Linked DNA regions of Caenorhabditis elegans. The main gene of each other region encodes a partner of the protein of the gene in region 2 in a complex. Each region holds a gene or a part of one and is shown on either strand. Other genes may lie near its edges.

Region 1 (6,349 bases), on a different chromosome or scaffold from region 2:
CCTCCAGGAGAGCGGGAAATCCTCGAAGCGGAGAAATGTGCGGGAGCTTTTCTGGAAAAATCGATTTTTTAATAAAAAAACTATTTTTTAGAGCTACCTTGAGCATTTCCTGATATTTCTGCTCAACTTCGTCGAGCATTGTCTCCTCCTGTCCCTTTAAATCCTGTTTTCTCTTTTTCAGAAGCCGCTTCTCCTTCAACGCTTTTCTGACACTTGGATCCTGCTCGCCATCGAAATTTCGTTTTCTTTTATTATTTCCAGCCCATTTCTGTGCTCCGCCGCCTTTTCCGTTTGTGTGAGGCATTGAAAACGCTGAAAATTGGGTAAAAATATTTAAAAATTGCAGGAAAAATCGTGCGCGGCAGTTGCGAAAAAAGCGTGCCAGGGTTGCATTCTGACTCCGCCCACAATTTTTCTTAATTTTTAATTGAGAAAAAATTAATTTTTTTTAAAAATATAATAATTGGAGATTAAAACCAAGAAATTCGAGGGAATAGATCAATTTTAACTCAAAATAATATTTATTTATGAAAAAAAAAACAATTAAAAGCCACCGAAAATTGATCTTAAATATGGAAAAAATGGAAAAAACAGAAAATCACCACCGCGTAATTTTAGAATTTGATAAATTTTAAAGGTTTTCCGAACTGCATAGGCTTAAATTCGTCATTTAAACTCTAAAATTAGGCGGTTTTCAACAGGAACGAGTAGGAAAAAGGGGGAAACGGTCTTTTTTTGGCAAATACGATCGCCCGGGAAACAGGAAGAAAACGAAAACGTAGAACAAATTAAAAATCGTAGGTGAAGCCGAGGTAGTCCTCGTCGAACTCTTGAATTCTGATGTAACCTGGAAAAAAATCAATAATTTTTGAATTTTTATATGAAAAATCCTCAAATCGCACTGCAACTTTTTTTTGAACGAGGGACGAGGAAATGCGGTTTCTAGGCCATGGCCGAGGATCCGACAAGATTTATCGGCAATTTATCTTGCAATGTTTTCCGCGAGTTTTCTTTTATTTTTCACCGATTTTTCCCCCGTTTTTTTCTTATTAAAACTGATAAATAAATTTTTTTAAAACCAGATGCTAAAATAATTTCCAAGTGAAAAAAATTGTGAATTCAGCCGGCAAGTAGCGGTGAAAGTGGTCAATGTAATATGATGGATTACGGGAATACTAAACACTAAACTTTTTTCGAAACATGATACATATGCTGCTTAGAGGCTGAAACTACCTGATTTTAATAACGAGACCGCTGAAAAAGTTTTTTGAGATTTTCAAAATTCAACATTTTGTGGAAAAATCTCGACTTTTTCGCCAAAAAGGTTGAATTTTGAAAATCTCAAAACTTTTTCAGCGGTCTCGTTATTAAAATCAGGTAGTTTCAGCATCTAAGCAGCATTTATAGCATGTTTTGGAAGAAAGTTTAGGTTTAGTATTCCCGTAATCCATCATATTACATTGACCACTTCCACCGCTACTTGCCGGCTGAATTCACAATTTTTTCACTTGAAAATTATTTTAGCATCTGCAAAAACAATATTTCTTCATCAGTTTTAATAAGAAAAAACGGGGGAAACATCGGTGAAAAATAAAAGAAAAAACGCGGAAAACAAAGCAAGATAAATTGCTGATAAATCTTGTCGGATCCTCGGTCATGGCCTAGAAACCGCATTTCCTCGTCCCTCGTTCAAAAAAAAAGTTGCAGTGGAATCCCCATACCGTCTTCTCCTCCAGTCGCGATAATTGTGCCCGATGGATGCCAGGCCATCGTGTTAATCGGTCCGAAATGTCCCTTGAATCTGGCGAATTCCTCTTCGAACACCATATGATAGATCTTGGCTTCAAAGTGTCCAGCAGAGACAGACGTCTGTGTGACCTGCATCGCGTCTTCTCCTCCTCCAAGGCAAATGTGATCGCGATTCGGTGAGATGCATGCCGAGTTGACGGGACGCTCGGATTTGTATTGTTTCAGCTTTTTCAGATCGTTCACGTCGAGCAGGGCGGCCGTCTTGTCGCGTGAAGCGGAGATCAGGAAATCGCCGCGTGGTGATAGTTGGAGATCTTGGACGCTGTACTGAAATTTTGGGAAATTTTTTTTTTGAAATTATTTTAGAAATCACGGAGGCACCACGGATTAAAGATCTCGTCGAATTCCGGATCTGGCACCGTGCCAACTGCAGTTTTCGCAGTTTTCTCGAAGAAAAATGTGGTTTTTTTTTAAATTTTCTTCAGGAAAAACGCTAAACAACACGCGATGCGTAACATCGGAGCATCGTTGTCAGGATTTTTTCCAGAAAAATTGCGTTAATTTTTTTTGAGTTGGTACGGTGCCAGATCCGGAATTCCACAAGATCTTGAATTTCGTGGAGCCTCGGTCTTATAATCATTGGAGCGCGCTTGCTGACACCTCACGAACTCCCGAATTCGCGGAATTTTGTTTCCACGGGAAATAAGGTTTTTTTGCTAATTTTGGTTTCTATGGAAATTAATATAAATTTTTGATGGATATTGTTGTTGGGAAGCTTTATACGACTCGAAAACGCGTAAAATTTAAGGTTTTACATCAAAAATCGGGAGTTTTTTGATTTCAGAATTTTAAAATATACATTTTTTGTAGAGAAAAATACAGTTTTAATTGATTTAATTGGTTTTTTCATTGAAAAAAATTAGAATAATCAAAATAATCAATCACTGCCGGATTTTGCTGCTTTTTCTCTTCAAAATGAGATTTTCACGGCTTTCAAATCGAAAAAACTGCCGATTTTGTTCCATTTTTCGAGAAAACTAAATTATTTCTTCGAATTTTTGGTTTTAATCTTGTGTGCGGAGTCAGGATGCAACCCTGGCACGCCTTCTTCGCAACTGTGCCGCGCACGGTTTTTTAATGCGAAATTTCGCCAATTTTCCAAATTGTACACACTTTCGGCTCTAATAATGTTTCCCCACAACAATAAAAACCAAAAATTAGCAATAAAATTTCCGCCAATTCAGGAGATCGTAAAGTGTCAGCAAGCGCTCCAGAGAACAACGAAAAAATGACGAACACGATGAACACTCTCGTTAGTGTGAATTGGTGTATCCGGATTTCTCAAATCGTACTGCTGAAGGAGTCCAGACTCGAATCCGATCGTCACGAGGTCATCCATCTGAGTGAAAAGTGCGGTCGTGGCGTTCACATCGAATTGTGAGTAGAAGAATGACTCTCCACCCTCAACCATTTGACTTGAATCACGAAGATCTCGGACTTGGAACGTCGAGAGATTCTTTGTCATCTTTTGTGTGGTGAAGCACACCAAATTTCCTGAATACGAGAATCCGCACGACTTCATCGGAGTCTGATGGTTGATTGTGTAGAGGCAGTTGCCGAGCTCGGCATCCCAAATCTTCACGGTGAGGTCTCCGGACGCGGTGACACACTTGGTAGTGTCCCATGAGACGTCGATATCCCACACGGCTCCGTTATGCCCGTCGTAGCTACCTGAAAAGAAAAATAATAAATAAATATATTTAAAAGGTGGAGTAGCGTCAGTGGGAAAATTGCTTTAAAACATGCATATGGTACCACAGTGACCGAATATCATGATTAAAAATTTCAAAAAAATTTTCTAAATTTTATATGATTTTTTGAAAAATTGAAAAAAATCTCAGTTTTTGCCTAATTCCAATTTTAATTACCGCCAATTGGATTTGTTCGATGGAGCGCGCTTGCACGTTTTAAAATTTATTTATTTTATTTTTTGTTATTTTCCAACGATTTTTAATGTTTTCGATGTATTTTTGCTTGAATTTTAGAGAAAAAGTCAAAATAATTGCAAATTTTCGATTAAAAAGCACGCTTAGAGGCGTAAAAAATGAAAAGTAACGCTTTTAAACGATTTCGAACCTGAATTAATAAATTTCACTGATTTACGCCTGTAAGCGTGCTTTTTAATTGAAAATTTGCAATTCTTTTGACTTTTTCTCTAAAATTCAAGCAAAAATACACCGAAAACATTAAAAATCGGTGGAAAATAACAATAAATAAAATAAATAAATTTAAAAACGTGCAAGCGCGCTCCATCGAACAAATCCAATTGGCGGTAATTAAAATTGAAATTAGGCAAAAACTGAGATTTTTTCAATTTTCAAAAAATCATATAAAATTTAGAAAATTTTTTTGAAATTTTTAATCATGATATTCGGTCATTGTGGTACCATATGCATGTTTTAAAGCAATTTTCCCACTAGCGCTACTCCACCTTTAATTCTGCGAAAATTTTTCGCGAAAATATTCAAAAATACCGATTCTCTCTCCATTTTCAGTATACCAAACGCATGGCTTCTTGTCCTTAGCACAGGAGAACGTCAAATCTCCCTCACGATTGAAACGGACCCGAGTGAGAGCACGTTCGTGGCCTTTCAGCGAAAGTGGACGCATTTCTGAAAGAAATCCCCTATTTTTGAAGGTTTCTGCGAGAAATTGGTGGAATATTCGGCAGTTTTGATTATAAAATGAATTATTGGCTTAATTATTAATAAATTCCATTAAAAAAATGAAAATTAGAAGCCAGAAAACATGGGAAATATTCGAAAAATAAGCGAAAAAACAACAAGAAATAGGATTTGGCTCAACCTCCGCAATTTGGCGTGACAGTGTTTGCGGACTTGCGTACCGTACCCCCGCGCAGAATAATCGACATCAGCTGACGAAATTTCGATTTTCAGCAATTTTCAGCAATTTCGAGTGGTTTTCAGTAGTTTTCAACAATTAAAAAGTGAATTTTATCAAATTTTTAGCAATATATTAATTAAAAACTCAAATTTTAACATGTTCCACCACAAATAACTGCTAAATTTCGCAACTCTCAATTCTCATCGATTTTTTTGCGAAAGCTTCACCGAATCCAGTTTTCAGAGATCGATAATGTTACAATTACGACTAATAGCTGGCCTACGGAACGCGTCAAACACTATCAGATCGCAGGTATCGTTAAAAAACCCGAGAATTTCCGGTAAAATATTGATTTTCAGGCAGTTTACCGCAGTTTCTCGTCACTGACAAAATCACCAGCACTCATCAGAAATGCCACACAGATTCTTAGTAAAAATGTGGGGTTTTGCGATAATTTGTTGAAAAAAACGTTTTAAAATCCTTAAAAAACATTTTATAGAAATTTCCATGAATTTTTAGGTTAAAAATATGTATTTTCACATTTTTTAAAGCTAATTCCAGAAATTTTTGCCTCGAAAAAGTTAATTTTTAGCCAATTAGAGCGAAAAATAAGCTTGTGGTCTCGAAGCGAAAACTACAGTCTCTAAAGTTAGAATTAAATTTTGCTATGCGCCTTTAAAGCTTTTACGGTAGCTGAGATATCGATTTTTCTCTTTTATAAATTAATTTTTTTCTGAATTTTCTTCAAAAAATTCCATTTTAGGCCTAATATATATCGAAATTTTCACTTTTTCTGCTCAAAAAATATATAATTTCTAAAAAAAAAAGCAGTTTATTTTGAAAAAAAAAACAGAAATTTGTGAAAAAGTTGCTGGAAAGCACCACTGGAACGTGGGAATCTTTCCAGAACTGGAAAAATCTAGCATTTTTCTTAAGAAAAGTCCAGTTTTTCGGGGAAAATTGGATTTTTTCACCTTAAAATCATTTTAAAAAAATGCTTAAAAATCAACAAATGGAATCTGCGAAAATTGGATTTTACCTCGAAAAATATGATTTTCAGTAGAATTTTAATGGAAAAATTGAATTTTCCGTTGAACTTCGTTCAAAGTAGCAACTTTCCGTGCTTAGAATCGTATTTTTAAGCAAAAATACGATGAAATAGCACGTTTTCCAGGAATTGTGTTGTCGCAAGCTTCAAACAATTCTCAAAAATCACAAATTTGAGATGAAGCTCGGAAGCTCCAAAGGAACTTGGAAAGTTGCATTTTTCATCCGAAAAACCCAGTTTTTTGGTGTAAAATTAGGTTTTTACACCCTAAAATCATGAAAAAATGCTCAAAAATCAACTTTATTAGCTCAAAAAGCACCAAAAACGTGTCCCAAATTCGAAAAAAGACATTAAAAAATCAATTAATTCTTCTTCTGAGCTTCTGATCCGAACTCAAAACTGAGTTCTCCTTCGTTATTCTGCTTACATTTCACATTTTGTCCATTATCAAGTTGTCCACTGGCATTCAACTCTAACAGCTCATCGGAGCAAACGAAACCTGCGGTTTACCTCGAAAAATATGAATTTCAGTGGAATTTTAATGGAAAAATTGAATTTTCCGTTGAATTTTGGTCAAAATAGCGATTTTTCGAGCAAAAAATCGTATTTTTAAGCTAAAATACGATGAAATAGCACGTTTTTCAGAAA
Region 2 (3,546 bases):
TGCCATAAAGGTCGTGATCTCAAAAGTTCTGAAGGCCTGCAGCGATGCGGATGGGAACATTTTGAAAATTCAAAACGTTCATCTGGTCAGTATTTTATGGAGAACAAAACTTGTACAAATTGATGTAATAACTCTCTTCACTAGTAAAGTTATAGAGCTGCAAACGTGTTACCATACTTTTGGCCCACCCTGTAAACAAGATAATTTCATTGAAAAATGCAAAATTAAAGAAGTACCATAAACTTATTTGCGCGTCGAGACCAATCTGGATGAATCCATGCGTCTTCGAGAAGACATGCTAAAATCTTTTGAAATTATGATAATATTTCTCGCTAGATCATATTCTTCAGATTATATACTGTTCCACGTCACTTCGATCGGCAATGGTTTGGTGGGCTTTGACACGATCTGGTTACAATGGGAAGATCTATTTTGGCGGGTGGCCTGAATGGGTAGTCAGAGCACCTGACGGTTTGAGAGTCATCGGAGCAACGACGGAGACTTGACGCTAAAAGAAGATCCATGTTAAATATTATATGCATAAAATGCGGGTAAAAGTGAATATTGAATAAAGTTCATGAAAACATAAAGGAAATATAAATAGGAAAGGGAATAGAAACGGGGGAAAACCGAACAACAGAAACAAGGGTATTATAATTTGAATGACAGTGATAATTGATATTAAAGAGTCAACGGGGGTTGAATGCTGGTCAGAAGATCGGCGACATCTGAAAATGATAGATGCACTTGAGATTTTACTAGGCATTTTAAATTTGTTCTTCGATTATTAGGACATTTTTTAAATCGTTTGAAAAACCTAATACGCATAATACTCACGTGGGAATTGAATTTTCTCGTCGATATTTCTTGTTTTGATAGTTCCTTCGTGATTTGCAACAAAGAAAACATCTCCATTTTCCTTGGCTTCCCATCCGAATGATTGTGCCAGTGCGGTAACTTCCTTGTCACTGGCTCCGCCGAGAAGACGGCTCAACATTTTCTTTTCGATTTTTTGGAACGTAACACTGATGACGCGACAAGCATCTGAAAACTTGGTATTGAAATTGTCAAGCAATAAAAATAATATTTAACTGACAGTGCTTGACAGCATCCTCGAATCCGACCATTGGCTTGATCATTTTTGGGACTTCGCCAGGAACTTTGAAGGGTTCATTTGGGTTCGTTGTTGGCTGAAATTTTAAAAATTGATTAGTCGTACGCCGAAATTAAAGAATATTCCAAAAATAAATAGATTCAGCATTGAAATAAATACTGAGTTTCAGATGCACACAAAACAAGGTTTGATTTTGAAAAGCTCACTTGTTTCAATATTAGATAAATCTATTCTTTGAAAAGTGTAAAAACTCACTTTATACGCCCCCTTCACCAATTTCCAGAAAACAGCGAAGTTGCAAGATTCGAGCACAGCTCCAAGATCAAAGATTCTGCGAAGTTCTTGAGATCCGAGTCTGTTGGTGTCGATGAGACACTTGGCGAGAGCGAAATCACTCGATGGCAAAACCATCAACGTCTTGAGCAAAACTTGTCGAACAACAGCCTCGTCGTACCTGTGAAAAATTCTCTTTGAAATTTATTAATCTTCTTGAATACTTACTTCTCCGGGTTAAGCTGGTAGAGCTTGAGAATGGTCAAAACGATATCTTTATCGTACTTGTTTTCATTGACCATAGCTTGAACGCAGGCAGCCAAGTCGGCAACATTTTCCGGATTGTATCGGTTTACTCCTTCGATAGCTTCGTGCAATTCCTTTTGCAGTTTCTCGAACGACATCTTAAAAACAAATTATAGCAATTGAAGAAAAGAAACTCTGCGAGAAATAATAAGTAGAGTGAAACTCCTGAACAGACTCGATGAAGTCCTGCGCAAAGTGAAAAAAATCTTGCATAAAGTTGCGCACATCTTTTGTCAAATCGATTAAAATTACGCTAAGTTTCTCCATTAATTAGAAAAAAAGCTACAGAACACATCAAAACTGATAGAAAAATATTTAAGAGAAAGAAAAAAAATTTTCTCAATCAAAATAACAATAGTTTTAAAGGCGCATCGAATAAATCTGAAGGCATATCCTGCACAGATCTTCCTCGATTTTAGAGGCACTCCCCATTTGGGTTAAGAGATTTCAGTGAACTCGATTTGCTATCAGACAAACTGAAATGGAGACGTTTTTCCAAGTTTTTTTTTCAGTTTTTAATGAGATTTACATTAGAAATAAGAAAAAACTATTGTTAGAGGAAAACTCAGCGTATGGGTTTCGCCACGCTGATATCGGGTTACTGTAACTGGTGTCAAATTAAGGGCCACATTTGCCTCATAATTTTCAAATTAAAGGAAAAATTTCTGTTACGATTTATATAATCAAAATTTAATGCAAAATCCATAAATCGACAAAAGTTACAGTAAGTCGTCGTCTGCGTGGTGAGACCAATGTGCGTAAGATATTGAAAACTCGCATTTAAGGTATACGTAATATGAGGTTTTGCCAGAGAATATAAATATATGAAAATAATTAAGATATGATGACGGAATCAAACCGCTGTATGAACAAAATTGTACAAAATTCAACAGTAGTAAAACAAATTTTTATTATTTTTCTTTACTATCAAAAGTAACTGTAACAGGTCCGTCATTTACAATATCGACGCTCATCATTGCTGCAAATTTGCCGTCCTGAATCTTATCAGCTTTGTAAGCTTTTTTCATGGCTTCAAGAAAAGAAGCATAAAATTTTGAAGCTTCTGTTGGGGCCATTGCGGTATGAAAGTCCAGTTTATTTCCCTAAAAAACGAAATAATATGAATAGTTTTGTTTAAGTATATTAGACAAAACTCACTTTAAACTGACCGTAAAGGGTGAACTGACTGACAGACAGCACTTCTAAATCGAGATCCATAACTGATTTATCCCATGGTTTTTGTTCCGAAGCAGGGAAAACTCGTAGATTCAAAATTTTCCTAATGATATACTTCATATCCTCTTCCGTGTCATCTCGATGAACTCCGACAAGCACACACAGACCTCTTCCAATGGAACCTACCTGATTATGATATTTTAAACAATAACGGTTAATATATTCTTACCACTTCATCACCTACGGTGACTGCAGCTCGAGTAACTCGTTGAAGAACTACCTTCATTTCTGAAAAAAATTGAAACAACTAATGTTAAAAATACAAAAAAAAACAGATGAAAACTATTGAAATGTTCTCTTGAAAACCCTAAAAATAAATGAAAAATGTTTGCTAAACAGAGCGCGCTAACGACACTCCACCGTATTACTAGTCCTCAAAGGCTCGGCCAGCGCGACGTGGAATCTGTACACGGTCTCCTTCACAAGAAATGTACCAACTCTCTCGCGGTTTGCTTGCTGGCCACCTTGCCGTTGTTTTCAACAGGAGTTCTTAAATTTGAGCAGAAATCGATGATACGGTAGACTGTAGCAGCTATAGCCTTGATTGTAGAAAGTGGATGCACTTCATAGATTTTGAGCATATATAACTCTGTTCATGTTTGAGATAGAGACTAATG

Evidence for each region. The genes of interacting proteins can lie anywhere in the genome.
Region 1: eif-3.K (region 2) and eif-3.I share a complex: the UniProt entries of both Caenorhabditis elegans proteins name them as parts of the eukaryotic translation initiation factor 3 (eIF-3) complex.

Annotation. Positions count from the first base shown.
Region 1 is NC_003279.8:2,483,939-2,490,287, reverse strand, and holds eif-3.I (Eukaryotic translation initiation factor 3 subunit I), read right to left. Parts: upstream 4,428-6,349; 5' UTR 4,420-4,427; coding exon 4,284-4,419; intron 3,481-4,283; coding exon 3,047-3,480; intron 2,077-3,046; coding exon 1,722-2,076; intron 848-1,721; coding exon 789-847; 3' UTR 501-788; downstream 1-500. Other genes in the region: ddx-10 (ATP-dependent RNA helicase), read right to left, coding at 1-51, 98-304; abtm-1 (Iron-sulfur clusters transporter ABCB7, mitochondrial), read left to right, coding at 4,906-4,965, 5,013-5,090. UniProt on the Caenorhabditis elegans protein: Component of the eukaryotic translation initiation factor 3 (eIF-3) complex, which is involved in protein synthesis of a specialized repertoire of mRNAs and, together with other initiation factors, stimulates binding of mRNA and methionyl-tRNAi to the 40S ribosome.
Region 2 is NC_003283.11:12,952,247-12,955,792, reverse strand, and holds eif-3.K (Eukaryotic translation initiation factor 3 subunit K), read right to left. Parts: upstream 1,792-3,546; coding exon 1,616-1,791; intron 1,569-1,615; coding exon 1,370-1,568; intron 1,191-1,369; coding exon 1,097-1,190; intron 1,045-1,096; coding exon 838-1,044; intron 729-837; coding exon 682-728; 3' UTR 564-681; downstream 1-563. Other genes in the region: mpst-7 (Rhodanese domain-containing protein), read left to right, coding at 351-506; pqn-68 (D-aminoacyl-tRNA deacylase), read right to left, coding at 2,605-2,796, 2,852-3,055, 3,099-3,155. UniProt on the Caenorhabditis elegans protein: Component of the eukaryotic translation initiation factor 3 (eIF-3) complex, which is involved in protein synthesis of a specialized repertoire of mRNAs and, together with other initiation factors, stimulates binding of mRNA and methionyl-tRNAi to the 40S ribosome.